Sus scrofa: one gene and its partner. The protein of the gene in region 1 interacts with the protein of each later gene in a biochemical or structural test. Links are inferred from orthologs where the notes say so. Each region holds a gene or a part of one and is shown on either strand. Other genes may lie near its edges. The genes, in order: MCM6 and MCMBP.

The links.
Region 2: the proteins of MCM6 (region 1) and MCMBP form a complex in vitro, tested with the Homo sapiens proteins (2 studies listed by BioGRID). The link is inferred for Sus scrofa from reciprocal best matches to the Homo sapiens genes MCM6 and MCMBP.

Annotation. Positions count from the first base shown.
Region 1 is NC_010457.5:15,950,962-15,954,786, forward strand, and holds part of MCM6 (DNA replication licensing factor MCM6), read left to right. Parts: intron 1-162; coding exon 163-291; intron 292-1,879; coding exon 1,880-2,041; intron 2,042-3,825. UniProt on the Homo sapiens protein: Acts as a component of the MCM2-7 complex (MCM complex) which is the replicative helicase essential for 'once per cell cycle' DNA replication initiation and elongation in eukaryotic cells.
Region 2 is NC_010456.5:129,682,944-129,686,768, forward strand, and holds part of MCMBP (mini-chromosome maintenance complex-binding protein), read right to left. Parts: intron 3,327-3,825; coding exon 3,209-3,326; intron 1-3,208. UniProt on the Homo sapiens protein: Associated component of the MCM complex that acts as a regulator of DNA replication.

The DNA of each region.
Region 1 (3,825 bases):
TGATTAAAACTGAAGAAACTTTTCTCAGAAACTTGAACCCATTAATACATCTTACGGTGGCATATTAGAGTTTGTTAGCCATAAATAATTTCTTAATGCCTGAGATAGCCTGAAGTGTTTATTGTTATAACTAATCAAAGTGATTTTCTGATTTCGAATTAGGTCACAGATTATGCCATTGCCAGGCGAATAGTAGACTTGCATTCAAGAATTGAGGATTCAATTGATCGTGTCTATTCCCTTGATGATATCAGGAGGTATCTTCTTTTTGCAAGACAGTTTAAACCCAAGGTAACCTGCCTTTTTGAATTGTAATCAGGCATTATGAGTATGTGAAAGTTACATTTAAACAAAAGCATCACCTGGAAATTAACTGAACTTGACTTGTTCGGGTGTTTTTTTTAAAGTTATTTGTTTTTTTTCGTTTGATCTTGAGGGCTTTTTTTTGAGAACAGTTTTCTTCAGTGAGAGCTGAGAAAAGGGAATTTTTTAAAAGTGAAAAATTAACATTTCTTTTACTTGTTAGATGCCAGTAAAAAGATTTTTGTAAGTGAATGAACATGAATAACTATCTTACAGTAATTGATGTAGTTTATTGGATTCTGTGCTGGATCCAGAGTATTGAGTTGGACATTTGTTTCTGAAATAAACCTCTATAATGCCTTTTTTTTTTTTTTTTTTTAAGCATTTTGCTAAAGTAGAATCAAAAACTTTGATTCTCATTGAGGTTTTTACACTATTTCTGGCTTGACTTTTGGGAGTTATCCTTAGATTTTAATTCTCCAGCTCCTTCGCTTGGTTATCTAAAATAATCAGGATTGACTCTCATGTCCCAAGAGAAGCATCACTTTAATTTGCAGAGGCATTTGTTCTCCATCACTGTATGCTGGTCCTTCTGTTACCTTGGTCTGCTTCCTTAACATGCTTACTTCCTAGCTCTGAAAAACTTAGGATTCTTTAGTATGCCTCACTTTGTTATTCAGTAGATACTAAGCTTTATCAAAATATCTGGTGTGTATATATATATATAGCAGTTCCCTCATATCCACAGGGGATATATTTCAAGACCCTTAGTGGATGCCTTTGACCACAGATAGTACCAAATCCTATATATACTATTTTTTTCTTACACATACATGCCTGTGATAAAGCTTAATTTATAAATTAGGCACAATAAGAGAGTAACTGAATAGCTAACATCACTATTCTTGCACTTTGGGGCTTTTATTAAGTAAAATAAGGGTTACTTGAGCACAAACCCTTTGTTACTGTAACAGTTGATCTGGTAACCAAGATGGGTACTAAGTGACTAATAGGCAAGTAGTATATACAGCATGGATATACTGGAAAAAGAGATGATTCACACCCTGGGTGGGACATTGGGTGACATAAGATTTCACTATACTACTCAGAACAGTGCACAATTTAAAACATATAAATTGTTTATTTCTGGGATTTTCTATGTAATCTTTTCAAACTGCAGTTGATCATGAGTAACAGAAAATGGAGCTACAGATAAAGTGGGACTACTATTAATTATTGACTCCTCTTTTTCCCAAAAACTGCATAAGTTAATTAGCTGCTCAAGAATAGCCTGAATGGTAGCTTCTTTAATGAGCTTTGGCATCTTAGGTATACATGTCCTTTAGAAATGGTCATTTGCTTAAATACTAACTCTGCTGTCTCCCTGTTCATAAAATTAGTATATGGAATTCACAGTCCTAAGTATCAGTTTCTTTTAAAAGACATTTCAGTATTAATTCCTTGTCATTGGTTTCAAAGCTTTGACCCTCTCAGTTCCCCCAGAATATCTCCACCTGGGAAGCTCTTAAACTTATGTTTAAGTAAAAATGCTGACTTCATTGATGTTCTGACACAGATTTCTAAAGAGTCAGAGGACTTCATAGTGGAACAGTATAAACGCCTTCGCCAGAGGGATGGTTCTGGAGTAACCAAGTCTTCATGGAGGATTACAGTGCGACAGCTCGAGAGCATGATCCGTCTTTCTGAAGCAATGGCTCGGATGCACTGCTGTGATGAGGTATCAAAATCACTTCAACATAATAGAGAAATCATTTGTTGACTTATGTAAGCCAGCTTTGGTGTAGGACATACTAGCATTAGCTGCAGATTTTTTTTTTCCTTTTATTTATTTTTTTTATTTTATTTATTTATTTTTGTCTTTTGTTGTTGTTGTTGCTATTTCTTGGGCCGCTCCCGCGGCATATGGAGGTTCCCAGGCTAGGGGTTGAATCGGAGCTGTAGCCACCGGCCTACGCCAGAGCCACAGCAACGCAGGATCCGAGCCGCGTCTGCAACCTACACCACAGCTCACGGCAACGCCGGATCGTTAACCCACTGAGCAAGGGCAGGGACCGAACCTGCAACGTCATGGTTCCTAGTCGGATTCGTTAACCACTGCGCCACGATGGGAACTCCCAGATTTTTTTTTTTAATGTGACTGTTGATTGCTCATATGATACGTGACTGTGGGATTTTTCCCTTGTAGAAGGTTGCTGTCAAGCATTTAATGAATTTAATAGTTAGATTAATAGTAATGAAATGATCATAATGTAGATTATAGATAAATATATAGTAGTGAGTTCAAGATTAATGCCATTCGTTTGAGAGAAACTTGTTTAAACCCTACAACGCGCCAGGCCTCTGGACTGGGGATACAGGTAGAATGACGTAGCCCACATTCTCCTAAGGAGAGTTGTCTTCCTTAGGTTTGTATAATGTGTGGATATTAAATTGTTCTTCGAGCCCTGGGTTGTACAGTGGATATTTAGAGGAGTAAACAGGGAGCAGAGTGGAAGAACATTCATGCCCTCATTTCTGCTTCGAGCAAACCAGCTTACTTTTATCTAGCTTTATATTTTTGACAGTGTTAGATTTTGTTTGAGGAAAGAGTTTGGCTATTTTTCTTAATAGTACGATTGATGTATAATTCACATAGAGGAAAATGTACAGGTTTGACTTTTTACATACACCCTTGGGGCCACCCAACTCAGAATATAGAACATTTACATCATTCTAGAAAGTTTGCACCCTTCCCCAGAAGTAACCACCGTTCTGACTTCATTAACCATTTCTATTCCATAGGTTTTATTTTTTGGCTTTTTTTTCCTTTTTGTTTAATTTTTCTTTCTTTTTTTTTTTTGTTTATTTTTTCTAATTCTCTGATAATGGTGCTTTACTAATTATAAAATACTTTCGCCCTATGTGACTTATTATCAAGTCAAGAGTCAAAGATTATCTTTCGATTCTTCTGACATTTAATGGACATTTAATGAATAAACGAGCTCCTGTCTTCCATTACTGATAATTTGGTGAGAGCAAGACATGTTTAATTAGGCATATTAAATATGAGTGGGAGACTGAGCTATTACCAGCAAAGAGTACAGAGATTAGTGAATTTTTTCCCAAAGAAGGAGTATCTGGGGAGATACCACATTCAAACATGATCACTGAAAAGTATATAGAATTTTTTTTTTTAATTTTTAGAGCCATACCTGTGGCATATAGGAGGTTCCCAGGCTAGGGGTCCAGTCAGATCTATAGCTGCCAACCACAGCCATAGCCACTACCATGGTGGCATCAGATCTGAGCTGTGTCTACGGCCTATACCACAGCTCATGGCAACCTCTGATCCTTAACCCACTGAGTGGGGCCAGGGATCGAACCTGCAACCTCATGGTTCCTAGTCGGATTCTTTTCCACTGCACCATGACAGAAACTCCGAAAAGTGCATAGAATTTTGATAGCCTTTTTTTGGGTCTTTTTGCCATTTCTAGGCCCACTCCCGCAGCATATGGTGGTTCC
Region 2 (3,825 bases), on another chromosome or scaffold:
AACTCTCAATGAATTTGGTTAAGTTGCAGGATACAAAATTAATACACAGAAATCAACTGCATTTCTATATACTAACAATCAAAAATCAGAAAGAGAAATTAGGTTAACAATCTCTTTCTCACTGCATCAAAAAGAATAAAATACTTGGGAATAAACCTACCTTCTTTAGCCTATACCTTAAAAACTCTAAGATGCTGATGAAAGAAATCAAAGATGACAAATATACCATGCTCTTAGACTGGAAGAATCAATATTGTCAAAATGACTACACTACCCAAGGCATCTACAGATTCAATGCAATCCCTATCAAATTACCAGTGGCATTTTTCACAGAAATAGAACAAAAAATTTTTTAATTTGTATGGAAACACGAAAGACCCCCAAAAGCCAAAGCAACTCTGAGAAAGAAAAATGAAGCTGGAGGAATCAGGCACCCTGACTTCAGACTATACTACAAAGCTAGCCATCAAAACATTATGGTACCAGCACAGAAAACAAAAATATAGGTCAGTGGACAAGACAGAAAGCCCAGAAATAAATCCATGCAGCTATGGACAATAAATTTATGACAAAGGAGGCAGGAATATACAATGGAGAAAAGACAGTCTCTTCAATAAGTGGTGCTGGGGAAACTGGACAGCTACATGCAAAAGAATGAAATGAGAATACTCCCTAACACCATACACAGACATAAACTCAAAATGGATTAAAGACCAAAATATAAGACCAAATGCTACATAAAACTTTTACAGGATAACATAGGCTGAATACTGACATAAACTGCACAGTATCTTCTCAGATCCACCTCCTAGACTAATGAAAAGAAAGATCTAAATAAACAAATGGGACCTAATTAAACGTAAAAGTTTTGCACACCAAAGGAAACCCTAAATAAAATGAGAAGAGGAGTTCCCGCCGTGGCGCAGTGGTTAACGAATCCGACTAGGAACCATGAGGTTGCGGGTTCGGTCCCTGCCCTTGCTCAGTGGGTTAACGATCCCGCGTTGCCGTGAGCTGTGGTGTAGGTTGCAGACGCGGCTCGGATCCTGCGTTGCTGTGGCTCTGGTGTAGGCCGGTGGCTACAGCTCCGATTCGACCCCTAGCCTGGGAATCTCCATATGCCGCGGGAGCGGCCCAAGAAATAGCAACAACAACAACAACAACAAAAGACAAAAAAACAAAACAAAAAAAAAAAACCAACAAAAAAAAAACGAGAAGACACACACAGTATGGGAGAAAATATTTCCAAATGAATAGACTGACAAGCGATTCATCTCCAAAACATACAAACACCTCCTGCAACTCAATATCCAAAAAAAATAAAAAATAAAAAAATAAGCAGAAGATCTAAATAGACATCTCTCCAAAGTCAACATACAGATGGCCAAAAAACACATGAAAAGATGCTCAATGTCACTATTAGCGAAATGCAAATCAAAGCTACTAAGAGATATCGTCTTACACCAGCCAGAATGGCCATCATCAAAAAGTCTACAAACAATAAATACTGGAGAGGGTGGGGAGAAGAGAACCCTCTTACACTGTTGGTAAGAATGTAAATTGGTATAACCACTATGGAAAACAGTATGGAGGTTCCTCAAAAAACTAAAAATAGAACTACCATATGATCCAGCAATCCCACTCCTGAGCATCTATCCAGAGAAAACCATAATTTGAAAGGATACATGCACCCCAATGTTCACTGCAGTGCTATTTACAATAACCAAGACATGGAAGCAACACAAATGTCCATCCACAGAGGAATGGATACATATATCCAACAGAGTATTACTCAGCCAGATATACAACAGAGTATTACTCAGCCATAAAAAAGAATAAAATAATGCAATTTGCACCAACATGGATGGACCTAGAAATTATCATACTAAGTGAGGTTAGACAGTGAAAGACAAACATCTCATGATATCACTTACGTGGAATCTAGAAAGAGGAAACAAATGAACTTATTTGCAGAACAGAAACAGACTCACAGACCTTGAAAAAACTATGGTTACCAAAGGGGACAGGAAGGGGAGAAGGGGTAGACTGGAGGTTTGAGACTGACATATGCACACTGAAGTATATGGAATGACTGGCCAACGCGGAAGTGCTATATAGCACAGAGAACTCTACCCAGTATTCTACGATAATCTATGTGGAAAAAGAATCTGAAAGAGAATGGATGTGTGTATATGTATAACCGAATCACTTTGTTGTATGGCAGAAATTATCACAACCTTGTATATCAACTACCAACTACTTCAATAAAGCTTTAAAAAAGAAAAAAAAAAAAAAAAAAAAAAAAGGAGTTCCCGTCGTGGCGCAGTGCTTAACGAATCCAACTAGAAACCATGAGGTTGCAGGTTCAATTCCTGGCCTTGCTCAGTGGGTTGAGGATCCTGCATTGCCGTGAGCTGTGGTGTAGGTTGCAGACGCGGCTCGGATCCCGCGTTGCTGTGGCTCTGGTGTAGGCCGGTGGCTACAGCTCTGATTCGACTCCTAGCCTGGGAACCTCCATATGCCGCGGGAGTGGCCCTAGAAAAGGCAAAAAGACAAAAAATAAAATAAAAAAAAAAAAAAAAAGTGAGTCAGAGTGTGAGAAATGCTGGTCTATTTGGTCCACTACTGTTTCTTCAGGTCCTAGAAGACACTTAATAAACACTAGTTAAATGAATATCTATTTCAACCTCTTACATTTCTCAAGTAGGAAGTGATCAGCATTATCAGTCACATGACTAATCAGAAGCTATTCTCTCATTCCCAAGATCTTAGCACCATACACACACAAAAATGCATTCCAGATGTCCTTGCAAATAAAAGTAACTTGACTTTCCAACCAGAATCAAAATTAGGGAAGTAGAGATAAAGTTATTACCCTGAACTAAAAGAATTGTGCTCCTGTAATTTAGAGTTTCTTTAGATTTAAGATTTTAAAGCACACAGAGGATACCAAATTGTACTAATGAACTGACATTACAGCTAGTGCAATGTTAAGAGAGTTTACTACAGTTGTGTTGTTACTTAGAGAAATTTGTGCTAAGGCAATAAAAGTGAAATGTTTAGGGATGAGCAAAAAACACAGTACTAGGCAGGTTTGTTTTCCCTTAATGAGATCTATTAAAATCTCAAAGCTTAATATTTGGGTTGAACGAAAGACGGATTTTTAAAGGGCACTTAGGTTTATAATACAAATTTATATTGATCTTACTGCTGGAACCAGATGTTGAATAATTCGATACAAGTGTTCTGTGAAGGTACTATTCCGCGGACAACCACTCAAGTTAACCGTAAATTTTCCTAGGGGAAGAACATCTCTTCTTGTATACCTAGAAAAAAAAAAAAAGATGTCAACCAATAAGACACTTGGGTGATTTTCTGATTTCCATCAAAGAGCAAACAAAGCAGAATTAGTTTAATGTTGTTTGAAAATAAAGCAGATTTCGTTGATCAGCTGTTCTTTAGTTTTGTTTTGGTTTTGGCAATATCCACGGCAGAGTTCCTAACTCTGTGCCACAGCAGTGACCCGAGCCACAGCAATGACAACACCGGATCCTTAACCCACTGAGCCATCAAGGAATTCTAGATCAATTGTTTTTTTAATCAGAAACAGCAAAAAATATTATAGCCAGCAGGTCCCATCGCAGCTCAGGGGTTAACGAACCCAACTAGCATCCATGAGGACGAAGGTTCCATCCCTGGCCTTGCTCAGTGGGTTAAGGATCCAGCGTTGCTGTGAGCTGTGATGTAGGTTGCGAACACGGCTCAAATCCCACAATGCTGTGGCTGTGGCGTAGGCTGGCGGCTACAGCTCCGATTGGACCCCTA